Pelodiscus sinensis: one gene and its partners. The protein of the gene in region 3 purifies or fractionates together with the protein of the main gene of each other region. This does not show direct contact. Links are inferred from orthologs where the notes say so. Each region holds a gene or a part of one and is shown on either strand. Other genes may lie near its edges. The genes, in order: DDB2, H2AX and XPC.

What was found.
Region 1: the proteins of XPC (region 3) and DDB2 purify together in Homo sapiens (affinity purification with western blotting; 5 studies listed by BioGRID and IntAct, with this or other methods). This does not show direct contact. The link is inferred for Pelodiscus sinensis from reciprocal best matches to the Homo sapiens genes XPC and DDB2.
Region 2: the proteins of XPC (region 3) and H2AX purify together in Homo sapiens (affinity purification with mass spectrometry; 3 studies listed by BioGRID and IntAct, counting the BioPlex papers as one, with this or other methods). This does not show direct contact. The link is inferred for Pelodiscus sinensis from reciprocal best matches to the Homo sapiens genes XPC and H2AX.

Annotation. Positions count from the first base shown.
Region 1 is NC_134714.1:84,892,461-84,900,290, reverse strand, and holds the start of DDB2 (DNA damage-binding protein 2), read right to left. Parts: upstream 3,029-7,830; 5' UTR 2,952-3,028; coding exon 2,875-2,951; exon of another isoform or gene 2,566-2,874; intron 951-2,565; coding exon 763-950; intron 1-762.
Region 2 is NC_134736.1:119,930-126,695, reverse strand, and holds H2AX (histone H2AX), read right to left. Parts: upstream 2,367-6,766; 5' UTR 1,859-2,366; coding exon 1,430-1,858; 3' UTR 595-1,429; downstream 1-594. Other genes in the region: DPAGT1 (UDP-N-acetylglucosamine--dolichyl-phosphate N-acetylglucosaminephosphotransferase), read right to left, coding at 2,664-2,729, 3,152-3,307, 4,045-4,132. UniProt on the Homo sapiens protein: Variant histone H2A which replaces conventional H2A in a subset of nucleosomes. Nucleosomes wrap and compact DNA into chromatin, limiting DNA accessibility to the cellular machineries which require DNA as a template.
Region 3 is NC_134721.1:22,033,770-22,041,226, reverse strand, and holds the start of XPC (DNA repair protein complementing XP-C cells), read right to left. Parts: upstream 3,061-7,457; 5' UTR 2,226-3,060; coding exon 2,111-2,225; intron 1-2,110. Other genes in the region: U6 snRNA-associated Sm-like protein LSm3, read left to right, coding at 3,218-3,238, 5,776-5,886. UniProt on the Homo sapiens protein: Involved in global genome nucleotide excision repair (GG-NER) by acting as damage sensing and DNA-binding factor component of the XPC complex. Has only a low DNA repair activity by itself which is stimulated by RAD23B and RAD23A.

The DNA of each region.
Region 1 (7,830 bases), on a different chromosome or scaffold from region 3:
TGATTTCCTTAATTACCTGCTCCATTATCTTCCCTGGGACAGACGTTAAACTGACCGGTCTGTAGTTTCCTGGGTTGTTCTTATTCCCCTTTTTATAGATGGGCACAATATTTGCCCTTTTCCAGTCTTCTGGAATCTCCCCTGTCTTCCATGATTTTTCAAAGATCATAGCTAAAGGCTCAGATACCTCCTCTATCAGCTCCTTGAGTATCCTGGGATGCATTTCATCAGGACCTGGTGACTTGCTGACATCTAACTTTCCTAAGTGATTTTTAACTTGTTCTTTGGGTATCCTATCTTCTAAACTTACCCTCTCTCTGCTTGTATTCACTACGTTAGGCACACCTCCAGACTTCTCGGTGAAGACCGAAACAAAGAAGTCATTGAGCATCTCCGCCATTTCCAAGTTTCCTGTTACTGTTTCTCCCTCCTCACTGAGCAGTGGGCCTACCCTGTCCTTGGTCTTCCTCTTGCTTTTAATGTATTTATAAAAGCAATGACTTATAAAATGCTGCATATGCACACATGCATGCACATGCACACACACACAAACAGTAGTTTCCAAACAGATAGCTGAAAATAATGTCCCCACATATCTCCACCCCTCGCTTAGAAACATAACTCAGTTCAAAAAAGTCTTGTCTGAACAGGCTGCTAGTTCCCTGACACCTCCCCACCTCAGCTATCTGAAAGTCTGGTTTACGCCCTTCATTCTCTGAAGTCCTGATTGGCAGAAAGAGTGAGAATCTGAGGGAACATTACCAATTTTCCCTGGGGGTTTGGCTGCTTTCCTCAGAAACAATCTTTTTGCTTGTGGCTCATTCTCCAGTTCTTCATGGTCTCGTTTCCTCTTCCAAGTTGACTGTGCATTTTCTTCCAGATGATGCTCATGCACCCTCGCATGCATCTTGTCTTTTGATTGGTTCTCAGGTGTCATTCTGTCTGCCTTCCTAAAAGTACAAAAACAAAACAAAAAACAAAATTGGGAAAGTAGGATTTGTCATTGCTTCTGGCTTTTTGCTTCCACTGTTGTGGGGAGGGTAATAGGGATCAAAAAGCTGCTCTTTATGCCTTTAACAATTAGCTTTTAAAGCAATCAGGTATCTGCTCTCTCTCAACAAAATTCTCAAATTTGAAAACCACTGAGCTGCACAAAATGCCATAGGCGTCTTTGCAGCAGCCCACATTGCTACATGAGCTCCCTGGTGAGACTCACTGCTTTTTGAAGAGGCTTCACTAGGCTCTGGCACCAAGCACGGTCAAAACTTATTTTTTAGTCAACTCAAATTTCCATGAATCAAGATCCTAAATATTATGGTGGTGAGAAAACTGAAAATGCTGGGCACTCCCTCCTTTTCCTTGACACACACATACAGATTTTGGGACACAACACAAATGTAGACCTCTATTTTAACGCTTTATACCAGTGTTTCTCAACCTTGTTTTTATAAAGTACCACTTTAAAAACAATTATAAGTACCCCCAGTACCTACAGTTTTCAGACACACGATTTTTTTTTCTACCATTGCAACACGTTTGTTTAAACAACTTCATCGTAGCCAGGTGGGCAATGAAATTTTTGGGTGTAGAAAGTACAAAAAGAACAGTCTGCTGTAAAACGTAAAACAAAAATTCAGTTTTCTCCAAATTTCAGTTGCGTTGACGTACCCCCCCAGACTTCTCTCGAGTACCCTTAAGGGTACTCATACCACTGGTTGAGAAACATTGCTTTATACTAACAAATTAAACTCCCCCACCACAACGCAAAGTGAAAAGCCTTTTACTCCACCTAGGAGATTCCAAAGTAGAACATTTCAATGGCAGATCCCAAGGGGCTTCTATGAAAAATATAATAGAAGTTGATCCTTTGACAGTGGCATATTTTATTTTTAGTTTGTGAATAAATGTCACAGATGTCTGACTATAGCTAAATATAGTTAGACATACACTGTGCAAGCTTCTCCAAATAGCACCCCAATGCCCACTTCCAGCACTTTGCTATTCCCATTTGGAGGCCCACGCAGCTCAGCCCATCCCCTGCAGAACATTGCTTTTCTAAATCCTGATCACCCAGCCCTGCTGATATCCCTCACTTCTGACTCACAACACACCCTGTTGTCTCCAGCCCTTAAATCTGCATCCAGGAACTAGCTTAGTTAGCACCAATTCCATTTTAACTGTCCCACACATCACATTGTTGCCATTGTTGTCATATGACCTGGTTTAGGAAAGAACTGAAGTGTGAATCAAGCAGAGTATATTAGGAACAGTATATCCGAGGCTGAATGTGAGGAGCACCAGTGACTTTGGACTGTCACAAGCCACAGACTGGCAGCATGGCATAAACGGTCTTCAAAGATTTACTGGTTGATTCCTTTCACGCTTAAAACCAGGCCCCGCGGCTTTAGCCAGAGCCCATCTCCTGCAGTGCCACCCGGGGGGCACCCCTCTCTGGAGAGGGGACCATTTCTAAAGCTGACGGGTGGGGCACATGCTAGGGCAATGCTAGGAAGAGGATTCACCAGGTGCATACTGGGAGGTTTCCCATGTGCTCTCTGCACGTACCAGAGGGGAAGGAGGCTGTACGGAGAGAGGGGCTGATGGAACAGGAGCCAGGTCTCGTGGGTTGTATTCCTGACTCTGCCAGTGCCTCACCGTGTGATCTGGAAGGAGGCCTTCCCCGCCTCAGTTTCCCTTACAGCCTCCCAGCGGTAACCACTCGGGCAGGGCACCGGGCGCAAGCAGGCAGCTGACGGCACCTCAGGAGTCCTGGGCAGGACCCCGCCCTGCTCCGAGCCGCTGGCTGCTACGCCGGTCTCCCGCAAGGCCCTCGGACTGGCACGGCGGGAGAGGATTGCGGGTCGCGCTCCTCACCTGGTTCCCGCGGCCTCCGCTACCCGGTCTGGCCCAGCCCCCAGCGCGCAGGGCGAGGGCGGGCCCGACTGTTTCATAACCCGGCCGCGGGGGGCGCGGCGCTCGGGGTCCCGGCTCCGCAGTAGGGAAGCGGCCTGTTGCTGCTGCTCCCGCCGCGAGCTTTCCTGCTGCAGCGTTCCCGGCCCCTTCCCGGGAGAAAGGAGACACCCGGATCCAGCCGGGGAAGGGGGGAGTCGTCTCCGTCCTGGTAGCCCTAGAATCTCCGCAGAGCAGCGAGGCCTCCGCTGGGGCCTTCCTGGCCAGAGAGCTGCATCGTCCCCATCAAGGGCTAGAGGGGCTCAGCAAAAGGTGGTGAACTCTCAAGGCCTTTCAGATACATGCCTGGGGCTGTATCAGCCCTGCCCAGCTTGGCTGTGTCCTACCTTCTGCACCACCATACTGAGCCCAGTAAACCTTACCTAGAAATTAGGCCTCAGCACTCCCCACCCCCTAGCTCTCCAGCTTCTCAGACACGATTCCTAGTCTAATGTGGGAAGTAACAGAATAAATGGTTTTGGAACAGTTCTTTTGGCTTTTTGGTCAGAAATCATTTGTGCCAGTAGTGTTACAACAATGCAAACTACAAACGTTAGTTCTTCTCAAACACTTGCAGTTACAACTCTCTCTGACCACACCAGGCAAAGGCACAGCAACCAATATCTATCCTAAATCTTCTAAACGCAGTTTCAGAGTAACAGACAAATATAAAACAGACAATTTTCTAAAGTGCCTTGCATGATGCTGGAACAAAGAAGTCACACACAAACAGCCTGGAATTAGGATCCCCATTTTTTATCACTAGCAAACATTGCCCAAATCCCACAGCCTCCCTGCTGTGGAAAGAATTCTAGCGGAAAGTAACATTTTTATCTGCACCTTAGAATCAGCAACAAAATTAACACAACCAGCCTGACTCTCTTCTGGAGTACATGTGAGTAGATCTTTTACCATACTCACTTTTATTGGAACTGCCTGTGGATCAGAACAGTCTAGTCACAGACAACAGGTTACCAAAAGACTTAGGTTGTCATCAAATATATTAATCACATTGTTAGACATGGGCCCCACAAACAATCTCAATCGTATGCATTTCTAGAGCACCAAACAAAGACACTGGAGCTGCATGACGATGTCCATAGTGGATTTTATAATACAAAATATGAATTCAAAATGTCAACATTCACATATTCTGTTTAAGATGTGTCTAAAAAAATAGAAGATATGGTACAAATCACAGCTGAAATCAAATGACAAAATCAGATCACTGGACCTTTGTTAATGCTCCATTTAACAACATTCAAGAAATTAGGACAAAACAACCCCCACTTAAAATTACATTCCATTGCATCTAGTGTGATATCAGCCTGTTATTCATATGTTGATAACTTTACAGAAAGGCTATAGTCCACTCATCCATTTGTCCATGTTTTAGTAAAAAAAAATGTTACAATGAACTCTTATGCTTGTCTTCCATGTCACTATGCTACATTAAAACACATACAAACCATGCTTGTCTACTGGAATATAACATCACAAAATTGTAAATAACAATGACATGACACATAAGAAACAAGTATCTATTTCTGTATAAATATAAATATCAACACAGGCACTTCATGATAATTTGTCTTATTATATGTCTTTGCAAAATACTCCTACTACACATTTGGCACTAAATCAAACTAGCACCTCTCTGCAAGCCATCCGCCCACTGAACACACATTGACGTCTTGAAAGTCTACAGTATTAAACTTGTAGGAAAGGAAACTATAGGAAAATTCTCCTCTTGTTCATGGCAGGCAAGATGAGTTTAGTCAACAGCTTCAATAGATGCAGAGAGATCAAAAGGAGGATAGAGGTTCCATGAGATTCAAATATCTCATTAAATAGCAAGCAGAAAATTATAGTTTACATTACTGAAGTATTAATCTGTCCTGCTTTCCACAGAATTTTTAAAGTGTACATTTTCAATCTTTTCCACTGAAAAAAAGGCCTGATAAAAACCCAATTGAAATAGTTGGAAAAACTTCTGTTGACTTCAACAGATTTGTAGTAAACTGTGGTTCTGTTACCTCAGACTTGCAGAAAAATTGTCTCCAGCAAAGATGCGAACACTCACACTATCCTATTCACCTCATTTACGTTAAATTCATTGCCCAGAGGAGTACACACATAGCAACCTTTAGATTTTTCACTTAGCTAGAATGGAATTAATAAATAATTATTTCTTATCAAACACTAACACAAGGTTTAGTTTCACTCTGGAGATTCACCAGATTCCTTTGCGATTATTTTTACTGGTTAAGGACTAACTTGTTCACTAAAAGAGTTGCGTTAGAGTTCTTACAATCTAAAAAGCAGGAATGGAGAAAACCAGATGCATTGGGAATCCCAGTGATAGGGTTTACTTGAATATAATATTTTTGTTGTTTTTATTTACAATTTTTAGTCTCTTAAGACCCACTGATAGTACGAAGGCAACCAAGTCTGGGGATCCTGTTAACTGTAGGATGGATGGGATCTTATCCTTATTTTTCCATCCTTTGTCAGTGACCTATAATTTTTATATGGTTATGATCATTTCTATTAAGTTGTACCAAGATAAAGAAAAAAAAACACTGTAACTGTGGCTCCTGACTTGGTGGCTTGGTATGCTTAAAGGTATATATAGTATAAATAGGCTTTTTGCTGCCCAATACCTTGATCTCTGCTATAAGAAATCAAAAGCTCCTGCTTCTATCTGACTACTTGATTATGCCATTTTAAGAGAAAGTAACATCTTCTTCTTCTTCTTAAACCCTTGTACTCCGAGTGGAGCATAGGTCATCTACTTTACTCTGTCTTGAGCCAAAACTTCTAGCTGACTCCAGGAGTACCCCAGTTGTTGTCCTTCAATCTCAGCAGATCTTCTCCAAGGTGTCCGAGGTCTTCCTCTTTTGCGTTTTCCTTGCGGGTTCCATGTGAGAGCTTGATGGGCTATGCTGGATGATGGTTTTCTGAGAGTGTGGCCTAGCCATCTCCACTTCCTTCTCTTGATTTGACTGTCAAGTGGTTCTTGTCCTGCTCTGTTCCAAAGCTCCTCATTTGTGACAAAGTCTTGCTATTTGATGCGAAAGTAACATCACAGTAACTCAATTTAGGTCAGTATATGGAAGCAAGAATGTAGTCCAAAAAGAGGAGAAAACATGTCATAGAGAATATCACATTCTTCGACCTCCTCCTGTACCAGGAGGCTCTGCCTCCTTATAGCCACTCCTACCCAAGAAGAAAGGAAAAAGATAGAAGAGATAAAGATAGCAATAGAGCATCATGCCATGATCAGTAATAGACAACATGGACAAATGGACACAGGAGACGAAACCCCAAACAGAAAATGAAATCCCATCCTGTACAAAAGGAAGGTGTACTAAGATCACATCCCAAACGCTGTGACCTGGATACACTTCTCCTATGACAATTACCCAAGGTTTCTGTCATTTTCATACTTTGGAAATGCATGTAAAGTAGGTAATTTAACTAACATGTTGGAATTTAATGAAGCCATGAGTGAACATCACACTATGCTGAAAAACACTGATCAAACCTCTTTTTCCCCCTGAAAATATGAAAAGGGAAATTCATTTGCTACCTATTATTTCCCATGGAGCTAACTTAAGGTTGGGTAAGGATTTTCAAACACTCTTTGTGGAAAGGATGTACTTTTTGATCTATTATAAACAGGGCCCATCTGTGGGACTGTTTTAGGATGACCACTCAAGTTAAAACATAATTATCAGAGTAAAGGGAACAAAAAGATGTTTCAGACATTAGACTCTCTTTTCTATAGTATGCATCTCAGAAGGGCCCCACGATGCAGGAGTTACCATTCTAGCTCCCAGGAAACCTGAGGCAACTTTTAAATTATCTATCAGTTCCAGATATCTACAAATATCAGAACACTTGGCAAACAAAACAGCACCAAGAAATAGATTCCTAAGGTTCCTGGGCTGGGCAGAGCTGCCCTTTCCTTTCAGCCCTAAGGTCCTCAGTCTTTTCTTGTTACTGTTATTGAATGAACATCATTGGGAACCCTATAATTTAATGAGAAAAATTAAAGAGGAGCACCAAGTCTCACTGACTCCCAAAATATAAAACCTGCCCTCAGAACCAGCAGTAAGCAAAAGCAGACTAAGCAATTGCTTAGAGTCCCAAATAACTCCAGAAGGCCTCCTATTAATCATTAGTATATGATGGGGGCAAAATATTCCTGCTTAGGACTCCCAATCATGTCATATATCGTGGCCAATTGCCTTGAGGGACATAAACTTTGGAATCTTGAACATGGAGGGTTCAGGCTACACTACATTAACTCCAGTTTAGGGACTTAAAAGCACCGAATTGTTCAGAAAGTAGATGGCATTTTCAGATAAAAAGTTGCAGACTCCTAATGAGTTAGGTAGAGCAGGGAGGGACACAAAAACAACAGCCAAAGAAGGCAATGGTGAAACTCCTGATTTCCTGCACCAGGAAGAGCAAAAGCTAAAATATGGCAAGAGGAAATGGATGGGGAGTGGCTTCTCCACTTTTTTGGGGGAGGGGGGAGTATGAGAAACAACAACAGATGAGTCTCCCAGACCTTCCCTTAGTCTCCCTTCAGCCAGCCAGATTGGTTCAATGATCCTTACAGGTCAGCTAATTGGCTGAAATTAGGGTTGCCAGTTCTGGTGGACACATTCTGGGAGGTTTAATTACATGACATAACCTTTAATTAAAATTTTTTTTTAATTCCTGGAGACTTCAGGACAATCTTGTAGGGTTGGCAACCCTATCTGACAGACGTGAAAACGTGTTAAGAAATGCAGAAAGAGCCTCCTATCCCAGATTTCTCCTACTGATGGTCCACCCAGACTCCAGAGAGGTGGTCTTTCCAGTGATGCC
Region 2 (6,766 bases), on a different chromosome or scaffold from region 3:
ATAATGGATGATGCTTAGATAAATGTTTATTCACTGCTATAAATCAACACTAATTGCATTCATTTAAAATTGTCAGACCAAATTAACCAGAGCAATGGTGTCTACAAATGCAACGTATCATGAATTTTCTTTGATCAACTTAATTTCCTTCCAAGCTTAGCAGCAAACTCCATAGTGGAAGAGAATATGCATTTCAACTAGTGATTAATCCCCTTCATTTTATAAGCCAGTACGAATGTATTGTAGAGGCCTTTCAAATTGTGAAATGCAGAGATGGTGTTTTGTAAATGAAACCATGTTTAAATATCTCTAACACCTACTAACTATTTTACTTTCATGTGGAACTGGTTCCAGGGCCATGTAATTTCTTATGTGCATGAAATATGCCCTTGAAATCCTCCAAATAGCAGGGATTGTGCCTGACAGCTGTCCAAACTGTGTATTTGATTTAATTTTGTAGGTACAATTACATTTTCTCACATTTGAAAAATGTAATTGAACCTCCACCCTTCAAATTCAATGCACAAACTAGGAAAATGTAAGTTTTGAGCAGTGCTCTTTTCCATGCTGTGTACAACCAATTACTAAGATTCATTTTTTTGTTGCTGGCCACTATTTTATTACACACAGTACATTTTCAGGGATATACAAGCAATGAAAGGCTACTACAGCAGATTTAGAAGTATCCAAATTAAAGGGCATGGCAGAAAGAAATACTGGATGTTTTACTAACAAGTTTTGTACTAATTCAAATTGTCTCTGGTTTGATTATGTAGGTGGAGCAAGCTGCTGTGTGCAGCTGCTGTCTTGCAACAGATCAAAGTTGGTTTCACTGCAGCATGAAACTAGTAAATAGTAACATTTTAGAGTACACCAATACAGTAGTGTAATCGCTGCTAAGTGAAAGTCTCCCACTGTGGAGTCCGTGGGCTCCGTAGTTTACAATACTTAGGATGGTTGTGCTTGATCCCAGACAAGATGTTCTCAGCCTTAACATTAAACGGGTAGAGCCTCAGATCGGTGATACGTGGGACCAGGCAACTAAACAGTCTGTGCCACAGCTGCTTCCTGGTGCCAGCGTTTCGCAGTTCTCCGGGCACCGTAACAGGACGGACTCCAGCCTGGCCGCAAGCAACGCTCGGGGCGCGGCCCCACCTGTGCACGTGGAGCCCGCTCGTCCCGCCTACCAGCGTTACGGCTCAGTTCCCAGAAATACGGAAGCCCCTGGCGCTGGCACCGGGCAGATCACGGGGACCTCGCCTCGTTCCCCTGGTGTGCAGCGCGCGGCCGTGGCCCGGGGAACGCCTGCCTAGCGGGGCGCAGCGCAGCGAGGGGGCCGCCCCTCCAGGAAACCCGCCCCGGATCCGCAGCTCTTTCGCTGAGCCTGGGGCGGCCCTGAAAAGGGCCTTTGGGGGGGGCGGGCGGGCGGCTAATACTCCTGCGACTGCTGCCCGCCGCCCTTCTTGCCGCCCTTGGCCGGGCCGGGCCCGCCGCCCGCTTTCTTGGGCAGCAGCACGGCCTGGATGTTGGGCAGGACGCCGCCCTGCGCGATGGTGACGCCCCCCAGCAGCTTGTTGAGCTCCTCGTCGTTGCGCACCGCCAGCTGCAGGTGCCGCGGGATGATGCGCGTCTTCTTGTTGTCGCGCGCCGCGTTGCCCGCCAGCTCCAGGATCTCCGCCGTCAGGTACTCGAGCACGGCGGCCAGGTAGACCGGCGCGCCCGCGCCCACGCGCTCGGCGTAGTGCCCGCGCCGCAGCAGCCGGTGCACGCGCCCCACGGGGAACTGCAGGCCGGCGCGCGACGAGCGGGACTTAGCCTTGGCCCGGGCCTTGCCGCCGCTCTTGCCGCGGCCGGACATGGCGCGAGAACAGAAGGGGGCAGGAAAAGGACGCACGCGGCCCAGCGATCGCCTCCCACGTCAGCAAGGGCCACTGCCTGCCACAGCCAACTGCCCCGGCGCCCGCCGCGCGCGCTTTCTTTTATAGCCGCTGCGCGATGACGCTGCATTCCGCCATTGGCTGGTCATTCAGATTCTCTCACGGATTGGTTCGGCTCAGGAGCTGGCCAAACGGTATGCATTTATTGGCTGCCCGAACAGGCCAATCAGAAGGCAGGGCGCCAAATTCAAACGGAGCCCAAAGCCTAATAAGGAACCGAGCAGCCTCATTCTCGTTGCCAGTGTCCAGGGTTCCACCCCGTGAACTGGCCCTTGGCAGGGGCTGCCACTGTGCGAGCATCCAGGGTGAATCCATTCTGCCCCGCCCCCGGGGGCAGACCCCCATTCTGTAACGTGTGAGTAGGATGCTCTCCCCCTTTGGGCAATTGCTTGAGTGACAGAACAAATAGACATGGAGCCCTCTTCCCCTGCCCACAGGTAAGAAACTTCACGTCCTATTGGCATCTGGTCCTTGGTTTAACGACACTGCAGGTCCACAACACTCAGGTAACATTAACACCCGCATCCGACCAATGGCCTCTGCCCAACCCCATCACAGAAAAAAATTCAGCTGAGAGAGGCCAGTGTAAGAGTCTTTACTCACATCTGGGAAGGGGGCCTGTGACTCTGAGACAGAGCGAGATTCCTGCTGCCATGTGGCAGGGAACTGAAAAAGTAAAAGGTAGATCAGGAAGTGCTGGAGTTTCCCTTACCACTGGCAGCGCAGTCAAACATCATAGAACAAGCGTACTAGTTGGTACCGGATCAAAAAGGCAATGGTGCTGCCCACTACCTACAGAGGAAAAAAATAAGGAAGATCATTGGAATCCATTTGTGCTAAATACTTGACCGAGTGGTATAAAGACAAGATCCCTTTGTCAAACAAACTACATCATATGACCCACCTCTGTAAGTAACACAGAAGTTAATTTAAAATATTTCCATGCCTACTTTCAAAGGGGTGTGTGGGAATGAGAAGACTGGGCAAGATTATTCTCTCCGAGGAGCAGTATGGTTCTGTATTGCAGAGCCATAGCTAACTCAGGCAGGTGAGAGACAGCCCCCGCTTTAACAAGCTACTTGGTATGGTGGAAGTAAAGATGTAAAGATAAGTGAAGGGGTGAAATCAAAATGTTCCCTGTGCCTGAGAATTTTAGTGTGGACCTACATCCACAGTAGAGTAGGCCCTCCTGTCTGCGGGAGCATTTGCCTGACCTGGATAAGAAGCAGCAGAACAGTGAGGGTTTGCTCTGAGGTTGGTCCAATAAGCTTTATAACAAAGTTAATGAGCGTCATGTTGTTGCACTCTGTGTATTCTTCATCTTCGTCTAATTTCTGTCTCACATCCACTATATGAAAGGTTTCTGATACCTGGGGAAGAGAAGTATGTTAATCGATCTTTAATTAGATACATTATGGCTGCGTCTACACTGGCATGATTTTTCACAAAGAGAGTGTCTACACTGTCATGTGCTTTTGCGCAAAAGCATCCGTGCCAGTGTAGACGCTCTCTTGCGCAAGAAAGCTCCGATGGCCATTTTAGCCATTGGGCTTTCTTGTGCAAGAAATTAACGTTGCCTGTCTACACTGGCCTCTTGCACAAGAATACTTGCACAAGAGGGCTTATCCCTGAGTGGGAGCGTCAGAGTATTTGCACAAGAAGCACTGATTTTGTACATTACAATGTCTGTTCTTGCACAAATACTCGCAGCCAGTGTAGACAGGTGGCAAGATTTTGCACAAAAGCGACTGCTTTTGAGCAAAATCTTGCCAATGTAGACACAACCTATGTGTTTACTACTTAGAGCAGGGGTGGGCAATAACCCCTTTGGATGGGGGCACCACTTCATGAATTTTAATTCATGGTTGCAGACTGGCTCTGGCCCCTTAGGAGGGACGGAAGCCTTGGGCAGAAAGGGGCGGATCCCTCTGGGTGGGGAGTGGAAGACTTCATGCACACCCCCATTCCCAGGCCAATTGGGACCTAGGAGTGCGGAAAATCATTCACTGTTCAAAACAGCTGGTGGTTCCCTCTAGGCACTGTGTGCCCGTGGCATAGAGTGTGTAGTTGATAACAGAAGACAATTTTTACTTATCTCTCAAGGTACCTTTAGAATATACTTTCCCAGTGCTGAAAGACTTTTGGTTTTGAATTTGGAGTAGCTCATTTCCAGCTTCCCTGTTCCAGGATTGAGCCTGAAAAGAACATTGAAATATTAGTCCAGTTGCACCAAAGAGGCTAAATCTCTCTATAAAAGCGGGGGGGGGGGGGAAGACATCTGGAGTAATCCTATACATGTAGACTACGTCTACACTGCAGGCTTCTTGCGCAAGAACTGTTTTGCGCAAGAGTTCTTGCACAAAAATTCTTGTGCAAGAGCACGTCCACGCTACCATGTGCTTTTGTGCAAAAGCAAGAGCTCTTGCCCAAGAGGGCTTATTCCTCGTAAGGAGAGGAATAACTCTTGCACAAGGAGCCCTCTGTTCCGACACTTTACTGTAAATGTACTTGTGCAAGAACGCGTGTGCAGTGTAGATGCTCCACAAGTTTTTGCGCAAGAACAGCTGTTCTTGCGCAAGAAGCCAGCAGTGTTGACGTAGCCATAGTAGTCCTATAGGAGTCTCAGATGTGTAGCCACTCAAATAAGGCAGGGGCCAGAAGAATGTTTTGTGGGTAGTGTGAGGGGCAGTCAGCTGGGTTGCAGAAAGTTGTGGCAATTTCAAGGCAACATAGAAATTCCCACACATAGAAAATTGACAGTTCGTGTAGCATAGAACTGATAACAGAACCTTAGAGATGGCATAAACACTTCACTCTTCCCTGTGTTTTATAACACTACTAAGGAACAGTGTTTCAACTCTGCTCTTTACAGGGCTATAACATTATTTGTTAACACAGTTCTAACTCCATCTACAAAGCATCACCCAAACATATTAGGGACAGCTGCACTGTGAGTAGATCACTCAGTATGGCAGATTTTACATCACACACACAGACTTGGTGTTAGATACTGGTTAATTCAACAGTTGAGTAACTGCATGAATTCCTATTGTTTACTCAACTATTCTATAGGCCCCAGGGGCGGGGCCAGTTTGCTCTGCTAAATACTTTACTGAGTGATATGCCGACAAGGTCCCTTTGTCAAACAAACTACAGTACATCATGGTACTTCTGTGTTACTTACAGAGGTTGGTCATTTGCAGGAGTTAATTTAAAATATTTCTATGTCTACTTACAAAGGGGTGTGTGGGAATGAGAAGACTGGGCAAGATTATTGGGGTGCACTCCTGGGGAGCACTCTAACATTCTGCACTGCTGCCTCGGTATAAAAAGGCAGCAGCATGGGGTGCCAGGCAGGAGCCAGTCCACAAGGGGAGCCACGGAGTGGCAGCAGCCCTGTCTGCAAGGGTCCAAACTCCCCGCACACAGAGGCTGCTGGAGAGTGGGAAGAGGAGGAAGAAAGGCAGCCAGGAAGGAGCTTCTGTCCACAGCAGCCTGGGTTGCCCTGAAAAGAAGCTGGCCCGGCAGCAGCCCCTGTCCACAATGGATCCAGGCTTACCACAGACAGAGGCGTAGGGAGCTCAGAACCTGGGCCTGCAACGAGCAGACTACTTCACAGCAGCCTCCCCTGCCCTCTTCACCCCACACTGGTATGTCTAATAAAGGCAGAAATGGGAGGGGAGGGGAAGAGGGGGAGGGCAGCACCGCATAGCCAGTGCTGCGGTGAAAACCAGCTTTTAAGCCAGCTCCCTCCTAGCATTGGCTCCTGTTTCCCTCCTCACCCCCTGATACAAGACAGCAAGCGGGGGGGGGGGGGGGGGGGGGGGGGGGGGGAAGAAATGCAAATAGTAAAGAAGATTACCAATGAGCCTAGGCTTATCTGTTCATTGTATACTTGACTTCTTTATATCCCTAGTCTGTATTAAGCTTTCATAGTACTAAAAGGTCCCATCATTAGACCCCTGCGTGGATATAAAATTTGCATCTGTGTCCATAAAAATGAGCTGCAGATATTTGCCTCCACATTCACAAATCTGGATACCCACATATATATATAAAGCAGATATCTGTAGATTTTTAGGGCTCTTACAATCAGGACTCTACAGTTCACACCTTCTTTCTAGGACTGGGTATACAATAACTTGTGATGGGGGGCCGCTCCCAAGATTTTGGAAAGCAGCCAAGAGCTGTACTCTTCCATGGTATTAATGGAGGAGAAGTGGGGTCTGGGAAGGAGGTTGGGTACAGAAGGGAGCTTGGGGTAAAGGATTGGAGTGCAGGAGGAAGAATGGAGTCTGGGAGGGAGTTTGGGTGAATCAGGTAGTTGTGACCTAGGGTAGGAGGGGACTGTGATCTCAGGCAAGAGATTAGGGTGCCAGATCTGGGAGGGAGTATGGGTTCATGTGGAGTAGCGGGGCAGGAGTGGTTGGGGAAGGGAGAGGCTGAGGTGCCAGAGGCAGGTTCTCCCCAGATGACATGCCAGCCTGCCTGCAGAGCTAAAGACTTACAGAGCTTAAAGTGTTTTTGCCTACTCGGCCATGTGCTTGAGTGTGAGCAGGAGGGTTGTCCTTTGTGACTGCCTGTTATTCACACAAACAGCTCCCATTGGCCAGTGTCTGTCCAGAAACTGGCCAATAGGATTGTGCTGGGGGTGGGAGCAGCGGCTGAATCTCCCCCCCTCCCATCTGGACTCAAAGAGAAAGCACCCCATAGCTGTGTTTCTGAGTGGGGTGCAGGGCTCTTGGGCAAGCAGGGGAGCCTGCTGGTCTCCGCAGGCCATATTTTGCCCAGGCCTGTTCTAGTATGATGCCAGTTCCCAGGACATTATT
Region 3 (7,457 bases):
TCAGGGCTACGACCACAATGCATTCTTGGTCAGTATAGTAGAGAAGGGCAGCAGACGTAATTTTGAAGGAGCTGATTTTTTTCCAAAGCTGCATTTCGTCATTTACTAGCTGAATACTCCTCTGCTTGTGACTATGTCTGACATTCAGCTCATTACTTAATAATGATCCCATTTTGGAGAAACTTTTGCAGGTCACTTTTAAGATGTTTTTATTTTCTAATAAGCAGTGATTATCTGTTGTAAACATACAGCTCCTGGAAGCCTGAGAGAAGCAAGAAAAGTGGAGAGAGATTTCTGATGTTATAGTCTTATGATTTTTATGCCAATCCCCATACATTCCAGGGGGTCTGAGTCACATTTTTGAACATCTGGGTCTGGCAATACTGCATTTATTGCTGGACATTCACAATGGGCCCAATTCTGAAAGCAGTAATATTGGTTCAAATCCAATGAATTTTTTAAAAAGCAACTTTGAGAGAAAATGTACTAAGGAGAGTGGTTTTCGTACTTTAAATATTTGTTTTAAAAAGGCACTAATATTGTGAATTGATCCATGACACCACACTCTTAGGCCCTAATGGCCTCCAGTCTTTAAAAGGGTTTTGCATATACACAAGGGACATTAACGTATACATATGGGGAGCTAGGGGAAGCTCCTGCATGCATGTAAATGTGTAACAGCTGAATTTTTCAGTGGTTACATGTTTACATAAACAAACACATTTTAACATCCCTAATGAAGAGTTCAACAGAATTCAATCAAGGCCTACAATGACTCTAAAACCATTATTTCTTGAATGGTGTGTTTTTGAGAGGCCTGATTTCCTGAGGCCTTCACTTTCATTGACCAGGAGTTAAGCATTTTGCAAGATCAAATCCAATACAGCAGATAAAGCAGTTAAAAAAAACCACATCACTCTGAAAATGTAGCATTTCATAGGGCTTCTTCTAAATTAAGGAATGAAACAGACTGCTTGAAAGTCACACCACATCATCTTCAACAACTATGTGAAATCTAGAGATAAATACTAAATGAAGATGTGGTGACAGAAATACTAACTATAAGCCTCAATGTTAGATGAACAAGAAATACAGAATTAGGATTTAAGATTATATTGTGTTCCCTTCAGTTAGCCTTTTCCACAAACACATATACAATCAAATTCTACCATTATTTGCATTAAGAATGACCTGAATTCCATGCTTATATTTTACATAAATAATACCCTAAAGATATGCTGAAATTACATGTATTTATTAAAGCTGCCAGCAGTACTCTATCCAGAACCTTTATTTTTCTTAGCTTCATCAAATCATTTGATCCTCCCTCTTTCATTGTAACAAAGGAAATGTTTAGAAATTGTGGATTGTTTCCTGACAGCACTAGAAACTTCTCTCAAGAGAAAACTATTTTGCTTATGTAACATTGAAATGTTGACTGTAATGGGGCTGGAAAAAAAAGCTAAATCAGTCATGATCACATTATACAGTATAAGGGACAACAGATCAGCAGATGGAGTTAAACACCACAAAGAACACTACACTATTTAGTGGCTATGCAAAGAGATTGTGGTTTAAAAGGATTTCATCTGCTGTTTAATATTTCAAAAGCTTTATTTTAGTAAGCTCAAAACCAGCAAATAACTGAGACAAGAACAATTCTAAATAAATGTTTCATTTAAACAAATCCTATAAAAACCCTACAGAAAAAATGTCACAAAATAAATACAGCTATAAATAAACAATATCAGAGAAGTTTGATTTATTCTTCACAGTCTACTGTAATTAGAAATGCACATTGGACAGTAGGCTAGAGGATTGCGTTTAAATGAGAGGAGAGTCTAACAAGACAAGTGAGATTTTAAATGTCCCATTGAAATATGTAGCAAAAATCCTTTATCAGCACAGAGGAATGATTTAAAAGTCATTTTAAAGTAATTCCAAATGAGCATGTTATGTGAAGGGGAAATATTCCTCCAAATGAATTTTCCACCCCCAATCTGCCATCTAAGTTCCAGGGGCTGCTTCTCTTTGATAGTATATTCTCCATGATGCTTATGCAACTGCTCGCAACAGGGTCTGGCTCAAGAAAGTCTTCGTCTACACTCACCCTCTCCTTCTTGCCTGAGAGTTTGGAGGGCCCTGGTGGCTGCTGCAGCAGGCTCTGCCTTGAATTTCTTGCTGCTAGCCTCTTGCTGCAAGGAACCTTTGCGCTTCTTGGCCATGCTGTTTCCTCAAGGCAAGGGGGGCAACCACAGACTGGTGAGGGACACAAAGCAAACCCAGCGGAGATGAAGGCAGCCTCCTTCTCTGGGTGAGGCCTTTGCACGCTCTCCCCACCTCCGAAGCGTACGTGCACCCTGAGCCCTCCTCCTCCTCCTGGAGCTGCAGGAAGGCTCTGGGGAGGCTGGGCTAGCACAGCCGGCTCCTGCCTCAGTCTCCTCCTCCTGCCTGACGTCTCTTCCGTCCCGGCCGGCCGAGAGGCAGTCCGCAAGGGCGGCGGATAGCGCCCGTGGCTGCCGTTTGTGCAGAGCTGCCTGGGCGCTGCAAAGGCCTGTTGGGCAGTGATCACCAATGGCCCCTTCTTGGCCGGGGCTGCTCCCAGCGTGCCCCCGAAGCCCAGCCTGGGCTCACGCCGTCCTCAGTTCATGCCCCGGGGGGTGCCTGCGGGCCGGGGCTGGAGCTGTACTCCGCCCCCACTGTACGCCAGTCCGGGGGCACCGCTGCACTCGGCACGGGCCTTAGGCCGGCTCTCGCGCCCACGGAGCCATTGCCCATTAATTCCTAAGGAGCCCGGGCGGGTGCCTCAGTTTCCCCATCTGTAACAACATGGGGCACCTGCGTTCGCTTTCCTTCGCCACGCCGGGGGGGGGGGGGGAGCTGACGAGCACATCGACAAGCCCCCCCGGTAACGGAAAGGTGGGGGGAGGGAACTGAGGCACAGCTAGGCCCTGTGACCGCAATGGGGAGACGCGGAGGCACAGCCGGGGCCAAATCCGCAGACCAGCGGGGGAACCACGTGGCACGAGCCCGAGCGGTCCGCAGCCGCACACCGCGCCTGCTCCGCCAAGCCCCGCCCCCACCACCCAGCCTGAGCAACGCACCGGCCGCTCTAGCCTCCCTTGGAGGCCGCCCCCCCACGCCAACCGTGACGTCGCCACCCGCCGTTTCTACGCGCCGGCGTCGCGCGGGAAGAGGCGGGGCTCGCGTTTGAAAGATGGCGGACGAGGTGGACCAGGTGAGCGGCTTTTCCTCTCCTCGCCGTTCGGAGCCCGCGCGAGCCCGGGGGGGGAGGGGCGCTTCGGTTCTCCCCTTGCCCTGGGATCCCTCCCGTCTGGTTGCCGTTGCTCTCCGTAGCAGGGACGGTTGATGAACGGGGCTGGATGCGCGAGCGCCTGTGGGGTCTCTCCCTCTTGACTCCCCAGTTTCCCATGTCCCGGCCCTTCCCAACTTGCCGCTCACAGTGTAGCGGAACGGCGGCCCTCCAGCAAAGACACGCTGCATACGGCTCCCTCCATAGCGCGCCCCTCCCCGCCCCTGAGCCCCAGCTCAGCCCATGGGGGCTTGAGCAAGCGTGACCGGAGATGCTTCCGTTTTCCTGGTCTGCCGAACTAAGGCAGAGCAGGCAAAGGGTTAGGGTTTCAGAAAGCTGCAGCCTTTGACTTGAGACGGACTCCATAGTCCCCTGTGGAGCAGCAAATCTTTAACCTCTCAGTACTGCAGCTTACATCAAAACGTTTCCTTCTGTTTCAGTCTTCATTAGGTTGATCTTTGCCGTTAATTGCGTGATTGAAAAACATCGAACATCTCTGTGGTCTTAGTGTCATTTCAGTGCTGGTTTCAGTCTCCTGGAGCCTCAGTATTGGCAGTGCTCTTATCAAGCTTAAGAGATGTATGATTTTGTTATGTTTTGTACTTCTACTGCAGTCTGATTTGTTGAAAGTGAAGCTGAAGAAGTAATGGGGAAGGAATATAAAATACTGGAAAAATTTAAAAAACAACAAATAGTCTAGCAGCACCTTAAAGACTAACAAAACATGTAGATGGTATTAAGGATATTTAAATTGTGGTTAATTGACTAGTCAATAGAACTTCCATCAACTACTCAACTAGCCGATAGGCACTTCTGCATTCTTCCTTTGAAATGTACAAGAGCCCGCTTGGGGCTGCACCCAGTGTGCCTTCTTTGAAATGTACAAGAGTCCCCAGTGGGGGCTCTTGTGCATTTCAAAGCCGTGGAACCCAGGGTCACGGGGAGACTCCCCAGTTGACCCCAGGTTCAGTGCAGCATTTCAGCAGAACCCGAGACAGCTGATCCCGAGATCAGCTGGGGAATCCAGCTGAAACATGGTGGCGGTGTTTCAAAGGGGCAGCACTGCACAGCTGATCCTCAGTTCAGCTGTGCAGCACTGCCACTTTGAAGTACCCCTTCTTCTCCTTCCCTTTGCTGCCTCTGTGATAGAGGTAACAAGTGGAGGTGAATCGGCTAGTTGACTGACTAATCGATAAGCATTTGCTTATCGGATAGTTGACTAGTCCCTAACATCCTTAGAAGGTATCATGAGCTTTTGTGGGTACAACCCACTTCTTCAGATGAATGGAATATACCATTCATTGTGCCCAGGAAAGCTCATGATACCATCTACATGTTGTGTTAGTCTTTAAGGTGCTGCTAGACTATTCGTTGTTTTTTAAGTTTTTCCAGTTACAGACTAACTCAGCTACCTCTCTGAAGCTTATAAAATACTGGATACTTACTCCAGAGATCCCAATGCATTATCCCTTTGGGGCAACGGACCACTATTTCGTACTGTTTTCGCAATGCTGAGTATAGTGGGGCTGAGGACTAGAGCGCTAGGTCAGCAATGGGCAACCAATAATAGTGATTTTCATGAGTTGGACCTCCTTCATCTCAGTGGGCAGTATGACTAGTGGTCTGCAGCCTGCTGGGGTTCCACTTGTGGCCTGCACACCCCCTGTTTGCTCCCATTACCCATGCACCCCTCGCACACTGGGACCCTGTAACCCTGCATTTCCTACTCTTTCCCCTCCCTCCCAGCACTTTTGGAGCACCACAAATCACCTGATTCGCACTCCTTCCCTGCTACTCCGCTCCAGCGTTCGCAACTGTTCAAGCTCTGAGGGAGAGGAGTGAGAATGGGGCATAAATCAGGTGATTTGTGGTGCTCTGAATGGGCTGGGAGGGAAGGAAAGGAGTTGAAAGTGCAGGGCCCAAGTGCACAAGAGGCGTGTGGGGGAAGGAGGCAGACAAAGGGTCTGCGATCCACAGTTGGAGCCCCATTGGACTGCATGTGGGATGTAGGTTGCCCACTTCTGTTCTAGGTGCTACAGTACTACAAATAATTTTCCACCAATGAGAACAGCATAATCAATGGCAGTGTAAACTTCTTTACATCCTTGCCAAAGTATCTCAGACTTGACCATGTGAGCTCAATTTGGAGGATGTAAGCTATATTTTGTACCCTTTCTGTTCAGACTTCTGGCCTGTCCACTAAAATTGTCAATAGAGGGTACCAGTTGTGATAATAGTACTGTCCTCTAGGAAGTTAACTGAAATTTATGTCATTTCATACAGGCCACAATATGCTCATTCTATGATAATGATTTTTGGTTTCTACCAGGTTGGGCTGGACCCAATAACTGACCTGAAAGTGAAAGGTACCTTTATCCTATACGTGAAAGAGACTGACCGGTTTTGAACATAAAATTTTTGAGGCTTTTGTATATCGCAAAAACTGCTGTCTGTATTTTTAGCAACAAACAACAAATACTGTAGAGGAGCCACTGGATCTGATCAGACTCAGTCTAGATGAACGAATCTATGTGAAAATGAGGAATGATCGAGAACTTCGAGGCAGATTACATGTAAGTAAAACACTGCAGAAAGATTTAGTACTAGTATACTTTTAACCATTGAAAGGTACATCTAAAAGCCCAGGCAAATTATACGCTTGGGCTACGTCTAGACTGGCATGATTTTCCGGAAATGCTTTTAACGGAAAAGTTTTCCGTTAAAAGCATTTTCGGAAAAGAGCGTCTAGATTGGCATGGACGCTTTTCCGCAAAAGCATCCATGGCTAATCTAGACGCGCTTTTGCGCAAAAAAGCCCCGCTCGCCATTTTCGCGATCGGGGCTTTTTTGCGCAAAACAAATCTCAGCTGTCTACACGGTCCTTTTGCGCAAAAGGGACTTTTGCCCGAACGGGAGCAGCATAGTATTTCCGCAAAAAGCACTGATTTCTTACAGTAGGAAGTGCTTTTGCGGAAATTCAAGCGGCCAGTGTAGACAGCTGGCAAGTTTTTCCGGAAAAGCAGCTGATTTTCCGGAAAAACTGGCCAGTCTAGACACAGCCCTAAAGATTGGTTCTATTGTGGTATACCAGTCAAGTTCATAAGTTTTTATTTAAAGAGTATAGAAATTTCTTTTTTTGCCTGGCACATGTTATCTGAGTGTTTCTTGGTATCTATAAAATTTAGAAATTCATGTCTTCTATTTTGTTATCTTAGAATGACAAGGTGCTGGATTTTCTTTCCTACCGTTACTGGGTGTCTTTCCAACATGATGGTTTAGAAGAAATCTAGTTGAAACTAGTTTATAGTAGTGTTACTTAATGGCTATAAAATGAGACTGGGACTCAGCAGAACCTGGGTTTGTTTCTCACTTCTGCAACTGAGCTCTTGAGTGACCTTGAGCAAGTCACTTTAGCTCTCCATGCCTCAGTTTCCCATCAATAATAATATTGAAACATTCTCTAAAAGTAATGGTATTTGGGCTCAGGCTCATGTCTGACTATTTCCAGTGAAGATGACCTGCCACTTACTCTCAGAAGCTGATATTTGCGATGTGGTATTGTCCTCAAATTCCAAAGGGTCTACTCCGCAGATAAAAATTTGGAAATGGCTTCAGCACCAGTGTGGTTGGTGGCATGTTGGTGTAATGCATTCAGATTGGTCATCTTTGCTTAGGCCTTCTGAGTGCTACCGTAGCTAAAATTCTGATGCAGCTTACTGGTTTGGACCCCAGTAGATCCAGTTTCAGTGGGCATACTGGAGATTAGGGATATAAATGTGTAACCGGTTACCCGGTAAGCATTCCCCTTAATGGGAAGTAGCAAGGCTGGAACAGCCCTTGCCTGCAGCACACGGGCCACTCCAGCCCAGCCATGGCGGGTGAGGGACCACTCCAGCCCAGTGAGTTGGGGGAGTGCCCTCAACCCACTCCCTTTAATCAGCTAACCAGTTAAATGGAATTTTACATGCCTACTGGAGATGATATTTGTGTGGATTTTTATGGTTCATAAATGTCTACATTAAGAGTCATATTAAAGCATTTGCTTAGGTTCTTTTATGACATCTTGAAAGCTTCAAATCTGTTTCCTGTAAGAACTTTTATTCCATGAATGCATAGGTGTTGTGTCACTGTACTACTAAGTTCT